Linked DNA regions of Caenorhabditis elegans. The protein of the gene in region 3 purifies or fractionates together with the protein of the main gene of each other region. This does not show direct contact. Each region holds a gene or a part of one and is shown on either strand. Other genes may lie near its edges.

Region 1 (3,183 bases), on a different chromosome or scaffold from region 3:
TTCAATTCAGAGTTCCAGCAGCCATAACTTGGATGCTAACAACGGTAAATCTCTGAAACTTTCAGATTGAGTCTTCTACCTAATATCCTTCATTTGCCCAAACTAGATCCTCCTACTTTCTCCGGTGCGGTGCGGCCGCGTCGCGGTTCAATTTTTTTCAAAATGTGTTATACTTCATGTATGTATATACTCCAGAAAAAAAGACATGGTGTGTTTGCGTTGATCTAATTAGAAAACTGGAAGAGCCGGCGCAGGCGAAATTTGATTAACAGTAGAGAGAGGGGGTTTTGTGGAAAACATACAACCGGAATTCCAGGGTCCGAAATTTGTTTTTGAAAGGAAACATTTTGAGTCTGTATTCTTGGAAGAGTAAATTCGCGACCGCAACGCGGAAGAATTTAAAATTTAAATACTTTAAATATGAAAGTCCTAGCTCTGTAAAATCACCTGCAAAAATTTCAGGCTTCTAGCTCAAATATGAAGCAAGTTATGGCAATTTGAAAAAATGAAACTAGCCGCGATGCGACTGCGACGCGCCCGCGACGCGACCGCTCCGCACACACCTAATTGTTAATTGCATGTTAGAATAAAATCATCGGAAGACTATGAAATTTTCGGTGCATACAAAAAAACAAACATATAAACAGACAAAATAACATTTGAGTACAAAACTTCATTTTCTAGCGAACTCTGAGGGCTGGGTTGTTGTACGGCTTCTCCCCACAGTACATGAATGGCTGAAATTTAAAAAAAACTTTTTTTTTCTGAAAAAAATCTGAAATTTCATACCTGTTTCGCAGATCCCTTTGGAATCATACACGGCTTCACGACAAAGAGCAAAAATGCGGAGAAGACTCCGAGATACCAGCAAAGAATGATCGGAGAGGCCAAATAGTCGAACCAAGCGAGCTTCTGAAAATAGAAAATTGAATTTTTGGGGGGCTTTGGAGCATATTTGTAGCATTTTTAGCACATTTTTAGGTGAAAAATCAAGTTTTTCAGCTTTAAAACTGGAAATCTGAATCAAAACACTTACTTGATTGGAATACACCATGGTTTACCGGATTCGATTTTTTGCCTCGAAAAGTGAAAAATGGAAGGAATGAATGAAAAATCGATATTTGAAGTATTGATTTTTGATTGATTAATTTGAAGAAAAACTTCCAAATTTCAAAACTTCAAAAAAGTTATCACGTAATGAAAAAATTTAAACACTTTTTTAAAATTATTTTTTTTTCAAAATTCCGTATCTTTTTCAATTGTTTAGATGTAAAGCTAATTTTAGGCTTAAAACTTGCATTAAAGCTTTAGCAATAACTGAATAAATTTTGCCATTTACTACTTAAAAACCTACAGTATCCCATGGGTTTTCGTGGCGGGACTCGAAAAATATTTAAAAAATTCTTGAAAATGTTTGAAATTACATTGCATTTGTAGTTTTTTAGATTTTTGAGAGATTTTAAGTTCAAAATGGGTAGAAAATCATTGTTAATTTGATACAGAATTTTTTAAAATTAAATCTCAAAAATCTACAGTACCCCATGAGTTTTCGTGGCGGGACCCAACATTTTTTTTTGAAAATGTTTGAAATTGTATAACTGTTTAAAGTTTTTTATATTTTAAAGAGATTTTTAGTTCAAAATGTTTAGAAAATTATTGTTAATTTGTTGCAAAATTTTAAAAATCAAACCTATAAAATCTACAGTACCCCATGAGTTTTCGTGGCGGAACGCAAGTTTTCAATATTTGCAAAATTTCAAAAATTAAAAGCTTCATAATTTTGTCAATTTTCAAGTTTTTGGACTGATTTTGTTTTACAGTATGTTTCAAATACTGATTAGCATATTTGTAAAATATGATCCGCATATGTGCAATACCTACAGTACCCCATGAGTTTTCGTGGCGGGACCCACAATTTTCCAAAAAATAAAAACTCGATTTTCACGCGAAATTTCAAATTTCAAAAAAATTTTAAGTTTTAAATTTTAAAACTTTCCACGTGAGTTTATTTTTATATTTGGAACTTTTGACGTTGCAAACTTTGAAAAACGTTTTAAAATCGATAAATCAAACATTCCTCAACTAACCTTTCTGTTGGAAAATGTGAGTTTAGCGGCTGTCAACTTTAAAGGCGCATACCTTAGAAACTGGAAGAGATATCAAAAAGTTGTCAACTAGCAAAATGTAAAACAAATAATTTGCTACATTTTATTAATTGACAACTTTTTGATATCTCAATTTTTGGCAAAGTTACCGCTCTTTTTCAGATGACTGTTCCATATTATCGAGATGTTCCAACTGGAAATGCTCTACGCAATTTTTTCAAAGTAGGTTAACAGTTTTAGACAAAAATGTTATTAATGTTTACTTAAAGTTTAAAAAATTCAGATTATGCTCAAAAGGAAAGGAAATTTATTTACAGCGATTTTTAAAGAGTTATGTTTGTTTCTTGGCTTGTATTTTTTATTTATGGTGATCTATCGACTTGTTTTACCAAAGAGCGGAGGTCAACGGTAAGTGATTTCGCTGGAAAAACTCTTTAAAATGTAGCTTTTTTTCAGTGAAATCAGAAAAATTGTCGAAAACTTGCTGTCCCATCAGGAATTTACGATACCCTTGGAGTTTTTGCTTGGTTTCTTCGTTTCTAGTGTGGTGGATCGGTGGAGAAAGTCGCTGGACAGTTTAGCATATATTGAGAGGTAAATTGCGGCATTCTTGAAACCTTTGTAATTCCACTGAAAGCTAAGTTACTAAAAAGTTGTCAACTTGTGAAATGTAGAGCGAACAATTTTCTACGTTTTGTCAGTTGATAACTTTTTGTATCCTTTCTGCGCGGAGTTATTGGGGTTTAAAGATGGAACACTCTCCAGCACACAGTGATATTGCGGTTTAACTTCAAGCCTCCATAACTTTGCAGTGAATAGTAATATCAAAAAGTTGTTAACTAACAAAATGTAGAGCGGAAAATTTTCTACATTTTGTCAGTTGATAACTTTTTGGTATTTTTATTCTACGCGGAGTTATTAGGGTTTGAAAAAAGAGTACACTCCTGCCCACTGTGATGTCCACAGTGATATTGCGGCTCAACTTTAAACCTTCATAACTCTGCACTGAATGACATTATCAAAAATTGTTAATTATTAAAATGTAGAGCGTAAAATTGTCTACATTTTGTTAGTTAGT
Region 2 (3,629 bases), on a different chromosome or scaffold from region 3:
AAAATTAATTTGAAACTTTAAATGAATGTGATGAGCGTTACCTGGTGGAAAAATTCCTGAATCTGATCTCTGTGCCAATTTTCGAAACGGTTAGTCTCCTTAGATGCAGCCACGTCTCCTGGCAATGTGATAGTATGCCAATTATCAGATCGGCTCCCGAAAATCAATTGGCAAACACTGGAAGTAGTGTGACAGACAACGAAGTCAATTTCATGAGGAGCTGGCTCGTTCAAGTAAATTTCTTGTTTATCCAGCGAGAGAATTACAATACGACGATGTTCAATGACTCCAACAAAGAAGGAAGAACTTCCAAGGATTTCGAAATCAGTGATGGCTCCTGAAAATGTTGAGAAATCATTCCAGAGACTCTGAAATAGCTCATACCTCCAAGTCCGGTGTTGAACGAGTAGTCGCTTTTCTCGCCAAGACTGAAGACTGCCAGATCGGAGCACGACGCAAGAACAAGAAATCGCTCGTTACTTTTCGGTTTGAGCTTCCATGCCGGAGATTTCTTATCGATTGACATCTCATTTAACACTGAAACATACATTTAATTACATTAATCATAAAGATAATAGTTTTATTTTCTTACGGGGAAGGATTCGCCCAACGGTGCACACATCATAAAGGCCCACAGTCGACGTTTCCGCTTCCAAGTCCACAGCTTTTGCTTCGCCTAGGCGACCCATTCTGCAAATACGACATTATAATACACTGGTATCTCTAATTAAAAAATTTAACAGAAGAACGATTATAAAAATGAGTGAACAATTTCATTTCAAAAAATGTTTTTCGCCGCCGAAATAAGTGTCAGCAGGGCGCAATTTCCAAGTGTTAGAGTGAGAGAAACAAGACTTTTTTGAACCAAATAGTTGAATTTTGAAGCAAAAAACCAATAACTAAACACGAAAAGCGTTTCAAATCTCATACATTTCCTTACCTTTAACTGTGTTGAACAAAAATTAAATAATGAAAAACAATTAACACATTCAGTAAAAATTGATCGAAACGTGGAAATTACGTGTTCCTAACTATACAGCTTTTTTAAACGTAATTTTAGACCGGAAAACTTCTTTAAATTCAGAAATTTCACTATATTTATCAAAAATAAATAGTCTGAAACGATTTATTAGGATGAGGCGAGAAAATAACTGAAAATTAAAATGATATCCAAAAGAATTAAGATTCGTGTAAATATAGAGAAATTCGCGCCTAAAATTTGCGCGGGCAGGCGAAAAAAGACCGTAGTTTTTCGTCCCAAAACCCATCTCCAATATTCAGCATGCGCCTTTAATATGTCTACCGTATCTGCTCAGATGTTTCAAGTTTTTATCATAAATAAAATAATTTTACATTTTTTAAAGAAATTTTGAAGTGTTTATTTTCTGTGTTTCACCTGTTCCTACTGTTTTGTTCGTGGTTTGAACGTTTTGAATTATTTTCCAGAGCAGGATGACAAAACTGAACCGATGACAAATATATTTTATTATCTATACGGCCTCTGGAATGATGACAAAATAATCATCTAGGTGACTTTCTGTGCCTTTCACGGTTTTAAGATACAAATTTTTATAGAATACTAGTTTTTCATGTCAATTTCGGTACTAAAATGATCCCAGCATGTACCATAATATATCTTATTGTAACTTTTATATAAATGGAGACTTAGACGTCTAGACGTCTAACAAGAGACATAAAATAGAACCCAGTTATATGTTAAACGCACAGAGACGCAGTTGAGAAACAGAATCTCGTTAAGCGGGCAAACCTCTGCTCATGTCTTCTTCTTTTTTTTTTAATATGTTGCTTTTTGTTGTGTCAAAAACAATTATTATTGATTTCAGTCAAAACCATGACTATCGATACTGAATTGACAAACGGGTCCTCAGAGTCTGTGCCATTCGTGTTCATCGGAGGTGGAAATATGGCCGCTGCAATTATAAAAGGATGCCAGAATAAAGGTGAGTTAAAAAATTGTTCTCCTCGTTGATTTGAATTAAATTGTTTTCTAATTTTTAGGCTTTACACCGAAAAGCAATATTGTAATTGGCGTTCAAACGGAAAAATCGGCTGAGAAATGGAGGCAACTAGGATATAAAAACGTTTTCACAAACACACTGGAAATGCTGGAAAGATATTCGACGGCAATCTATGTGATTTGTGTGAAACCTCAAGTTTTCGAAGAAGTTGTGTCAAGCTGGCCTGTAAACTCAAGACCAGAATTTATTATTTCTGTAATGGCTGGAGTTCCATTAAAAGTTCTCAACGCGAAGGTGATTACTATAAGCAGTTATAAAATAATTTTAGAAATCATAATTTGCTGTACATAACATTTTTCCAGTTGCCATTCGTTTCGGGAAACACTACCATTGTTCGTTTGATGCCAAATGTAGCAAGTTCTATTGGAGCCGGCGCCTCGACGATGTGCTATGAAAAGAATGAAAAAATTATGAATCAAGATTCTCACATCGAATTGGCACGCGAGTTCGCCGAGTGTGTTGGAACTGTCGAACTTATCCCAGAAAGATGCTTTAACCCGGCAATGGCTATTGGAGGGAGTAGTCCTGCATGGACATTTATGTACATCGAATCACTGGCAGATGGAGCCGTCGCACAAGGGCTCGGACGAGCAGAGGCTAAAAGATTAGCTGCTCAAGCAGTACTCGGAGCAGCTCAAATGGTGCTCAATTCGAACTCTGGATTTGATATTGAAACTCAGCACTTTGGATCCCTCAAAGATATGGTTTGCTCCCCTGGCGGTACAACGATTGAAGGTGTTCGGGCACTTGAGAAGAACGGATTCCGTTACGCTGTTATGGAAGCTGTGGTAGCTGCCTCGACCAAGGCCGATGAAATGGCAAAATCTCTGGCCAAGTGATTAAGTTAGATTTTGTAATGCTTTTCACACATAACTTGTTGTTGTTGATATTTAAAAAAAAAATCTTTTTTTGAAAAAGAAAATAAATGCTCTAGGCGAAACCGACGCAAACGTTAAACATTGCAAATGACTGGCCAGAAATGAGCCCTAATTAATTGTGAAAATTTGGGAATTGGGGGGAAATTTATACTCTTGATCCTTTTTCCAAGCCGAGAATCTTTTCGGCCGATCCAACATAGTAGACAGTCTGAGCGATTCCGAAAAGTGGTGCCATTACCATCATTCTGCAAATTGCTCCTTTAAAAAGAGCTTTTACACCTTCATCAGCGAGAATACGATAAAACGCGTGGAAAATTCCGTTGTAGTTGGATCCTCCAGTTTGAATTCTTGTTTTCACAACGTCCAATGGAGTCACTGATAATGATGCAGTTGCTCCAGCAGTTAATCCTGATACAAAGCTTGCCCAGAATACTGCGTCGCCTTAAATATGAACTTGAAAATTTAAAGTTTCAGTAAACAATTCGACAAACCTGAATCGTCTTTCTTTCGTGGACCGAGGCCATCCAAATAGGCGAAAAGCGGGAAATACATTGCTGAAAACGAAACATCTCGTGCCATTGTCGGTCCAAGGCCTTTATACAATGCACGAACACCACCATCCTTTGTCAACAGATTCCAGATCAGCTTGGTAGCTTTTACTTTATCAGAAGACTGCTGCATTCGAATTTTCAATAGCTCCATTGGTGTGGTG
Region 3 (3,757 bases):
AAAAGGCGATTCTCAGTTGTTTGCTTCCTCTCTTTCTTTCTACCCATGCCAACGAGTTTTGTTTTCTTTTTGATTTTTTAAATTTTTTTGCGATAGGAAATAAGATGATAGTAAATACTGAAAGGTTTATTAGTCGACTGTTGTTTCCCGCTGATGAATAAGGAAATTAAAATTTTTTTTGTTGAAAAATTGTGTTTTTTCGAACAAATGTCGAGATTTTGTTAGAACGTTAAATAAGAATTGCTCCAGCCCAACCAATTACTCCGAAATTCATCGAAAGAAGGAATTTGTAGTGGAAACAATAAATAAAGCTCGTAAAAGTTTTTTGTGGGCTCTTTTTGTCTGAAACACCTCCGTTTCTAAAAATTGCAACTACATTCCCGTATACAAAAGTTCTTTCGACCAAGAACAAAAAAATTTCAGTTGCTTTTCTCCTTTGACAAAAATTAACAAATAAAATGAATATTTTAGGAGCCAAATAAAAAAAATTAAACAAAAAAGAACAGTCCTCATTTGGATTTAGATTTCTGTAATTGTAAGTCGTAAATCCGCAACATCTAGATAATCGTCAAATGGGGCTCAGACAGCTCAAACCCTGGCTTTTTGAATGATTGGCAACCAACGTTGGTGAAATTTTCTCATTTTTAAATCGCTCACCACTTCTTTATTCTAAAGAGTTCTCTGGTCACTCACCTATAAATCCAAAAAAAAGTGCTTCGATACACAAAATTTTATTCTCTTTTCAAAGAAAAAGGGACCTTTTCCTCTATGCTATCGATCACCTGCGAATAGAACCTAACGGAAAACAAAAACAAAAAGAGCAACTGAGCCCCGGAGCCTCACCAAAACCAATTATCAACGGCGCGGAACATCTTTTCCCCTCTATTTCTGCCATCACATTCCGTTTCGAGAAAAAAAAGAGCAACTTTTTCCTGCTCTGAGCCATAGGGTGCTCCTTTATTTCCGGTTGGTCCCTCTAGCTCTCCATTTCTCAAAACGAGCTGCTTGTTGCTCCCTTTTTGAGCTCATTCTGTGCTCGTTTCTCGAGGAGAATTGCCCGGTGCAATGAATGTATTCAATTGTTGTCTTGTTGGTGAGTCAAATTTGTATGAAAAAAAATTCAAGAAATGTATTGTATTGTTGTCTACGTGTGATCCAGAGTATCTTCAGAAGGTGTGGTTTTTTTTCTGAACTCTAAATTAAAAAAAAAACACATTTTCGGCCTGCTCCTGACACTGAGTTGACATGTCCTTCGCTTAGACTCATGGGAATGTAGAATTGGTTTCAAAAGCAAAACACGCAAACTCTGGTCCCCCGCAGCTTTTACATCGATTTCCAAATGTTTTTTGTTCGTTTTCTCGGTTTCAAAAGACAATTTTATCCGTATCAAAAGGTCATACAGGGAAATTTCGGAACAAAATTGAAAGAAAAATCCTTGAATAATTGAAAATCATGTTCAAAAATTACGATTTGCTTAGTTTTATCTGATTTTCTGAGCATATTCTATATTTCGAAACCCATTGAATGTGGCAATTGTTTTTTTGGTGTGTTGTGCCTCACTCCAATACCAATTTCCGTGACGATTAAATTGAAAACAAGACCGAAAAACCAAAAGAGAAACAAAAAAATAAAATCTAGTTTTTTTTTCTCCCCCTGTCACATTGAATTTATATTTTTATCCGTTTCCAATTAGGTTCATCCGTTTTGTTTGCCATCGATAGCTAATTGATGACAATCAAATAAATTAATAGATAAAGTTTCTATTTCCATTAACTCAAATTTCCTTTATTCTGTCAACTAAATTTATGTTGTTTCGTGCTCAGAAAATATGAGAAAAAAAACAGAAAAATGCATGCACAAAAAAGTTGACGCTAATCTTTGTCTCCCCAACTCCGAAGGCTCAAAGAGCACGCAAAGGGCTTATCGATTTTAAGAATTACACATTCCTTAAAAAAAGCTCTAACTCTAAAAATTATTTTATGTTTCCATTCTCAATTGCTGTATCCCCAAGAAGAGGTAAAAATTTGTTTTTTTTTTCTCTATGTTGTGAGCCTGATTGCTCTGCTTCTTCTGACTTTTTCGTTGAACAAAAATCAAATTTTATTTCAAATTCATAGATATTCTGTTTTGCAGACCCCGAAAATCGTGCGGCAGGCTCAAACGAGGAGGAAAACTATCAAAAAAAGACAACAACCGACGGTTTCACAGCAAAAGCCGACGGAATCAAAATGGCTGACGATGAGGAAGAAATTATTCAAAAAGTCGAAGTGAAGCCGGATGAATTCAATGGATTAATTGGATCAATTGCTGGTAACCTGATTAGAGATAAGGTTAGTTTAATTTTTGGTTAGAATATTTTTTTTTTAAATTTGCTACATAGACATGTTGAAATTTAATTGCAACCTAAAACTAATTATCTCACAGGTCGGTGGCGCCGGTGGTGATATCCTTGGAGGCCTTGCCAGTAACTTCTTCGGAGGTGGAGGCGGCGGAGGAGGCGGCGGCGGAGGCGGAGGTTTCGGTGGTGGAAATGGAGGATTCGGTGGAGGTATTTTTATTTTCAAAATTGTCAGACAAAAATTCCCTAAAAATTCAAGTTCCTTTTTTTGTGTTAGAAAACATTTAGATTCACTCAAAACATCACCGTGTGGCTTAGATCAGTGAATTTTTTCTCACACCTTATATGTTGTCCATGTTATCGTAATCCCATTTGCTGCTACAGTAATCCATAGGTTCGAACTACGATCAAGGCGGGAATGGGAACAGCGGAGATCAACAAAAAAGGAAACGAGACATGGCGAAAGACTTGATTGGAGGAATATTCGATAATGTGGTGAATAGGAAAGGAAAGAAGGAGCAGGATAACTATGGTAGCGTTTGTGTTTTTTTTATTTGCTGTTTTGTGCTTTCTATAGATTTGATTATATAATTAGCTTAATCATTTTCTCAAATTTTCTGAACATGGTCTGTAATTTATTATCCTCGGTTTTTTTTCTAGTTTTTCATTCTTGGACGTCTGGGAATGTGAAGCTTCTTTGTCTTTTGTTCCGTAATTGTTCACCAATCTTCAAGCTTTTTTCTTGAAAATAGCGCAATTCCACGCTCATAGCACAAATTCATCAACTTATGTTAAAAATCAGGTGGAGGTCGACAACAGCCGCCACCAAATAACAATTTTGGTGGTGGAGGTGGATCTGGCGGTGGCGGAGGGTTCGGAGACATTCTTGGGGGACTTTTGAGCGGCGGAGGTGGCGGCGGTGGACAAAGAGGCGGCGGAGGGCAAAATTACGGTCTGAGAGTTTGAAAATACAATAAGTTAAGCTTCTACGCACTCACCAACACTCACTTAAATACTAACAACACCACTCATTTCCAAAATTTGATTTGAAAAATATGGCTATTTTGAAAGAAGCTTTAGACTTTTAAATTCTCCTGTTAATTCGCTTTTGACTGATGATTCGTGATTTTCCTTTAAAAATGCAATATTTTGCATGTTTGCTGTGATATTTCGTGTGAAATTTAGGCGGAGGCGGCAGTGGCGGTGGCGGTGGTGGAAACAACATCGGAAGCTTGGTCGGATCACTTATTGGTGGTGGTGGTATGCATTAGGATTGTAGTGTGCATGTAGTATCATAAATGTTGTGTTAATATTTTAATAGTTAATAGAGCTGATGATCAGAACATTTATAGATCTTATTGACACTTATTTATCACATCTAATTGTATTTCATTTCTGAACTATCTACACAAATGTGGC

Evidence for each region.
Region 1: the proteins of clp-1 (region 3) and ZK849.6 fractionate together in Caenorhabditis elegans (co-fractionation; one large-scale study listed by BioGRID). This does not show direct contact.
Region 2: the proteins of clp-1 (region 3) and pycr-4 fractionate together in Caenorhabditis elegans (co-fractionation; one large-scale study listed by BioGRID). This does not show direct contact.

Annotation. Positions count from the first base shown.
Region 1 is NC_003279.8:14,197,954-14,201,136, forward strand, and holds ZK849.6 (NADH dehydrogenase subunit 1), read right to left. Parts: upstream 1,184-3,183; 5' UTR 1,055-1,183; coding exon 1,037-1,054; intron 913-1,036; coding exon 790-912; intron 738-789; coding exon 681-737; 3' UTR 658-680; downstream 1-657. Other genes in the region: best-26 (Bestrophin homolog 26), read left to right, coding at 2,268-2,327, 2,389-2,513, 2,562-2,699.
Region 2 is NC_003282.8:7,475,513-7,479,141, reverse strand, and holds pycr-4 (Putative pyrroline-5-carboxylate reductase 4), read left to right. Parts: upstream 1-1,844; 5' UTR 1,845-1,852; coding exon 1,853-1,961; intron 1,962-2,019; coding exon 2,020-2,273; intron 2,274-2,341; coding exon 2,342-2,878; 3' UTR 2,879-2,979; downstream 2,980-3,629. Other genes in the region: Kinetochore-associated protein rod-1, read right to left, coding at 42-337, 385-537, 593-689; slc-25A18.2 (SLC (SoLute Carrier) homolog), read right to left, coding at 3,063-3,358, 3,409-3,629.
Region 3 is NC_003281.10:7,978,941-7,982,697, forward strand, and holds the start of clp-1 (Calpain clp-1), read left to right. Parts: upstream 1-2,133; 5' UTR 2,134-2,228; coding exon 2,229-2,330; intron 2,331-2,424; coding exon 2,425-2,548; coding exon of another isoform or gene 2,549-2,664; exon of another isoform or gene 2,665-2,732; coding exon 2,733-2,870; intron 2,871-3,523; coding exon of another isoform or gene 3,524-3,598; intron 3,599-3,757. UniProt on the Caenorhabditis elegans protein: Calcium-regulated non-lysosomal thiol-protease which catalyzes limited proteolysis of substrates. Required for assembly and maintenance of integrin attachment complexes which are essential for maintenance of adult muscle.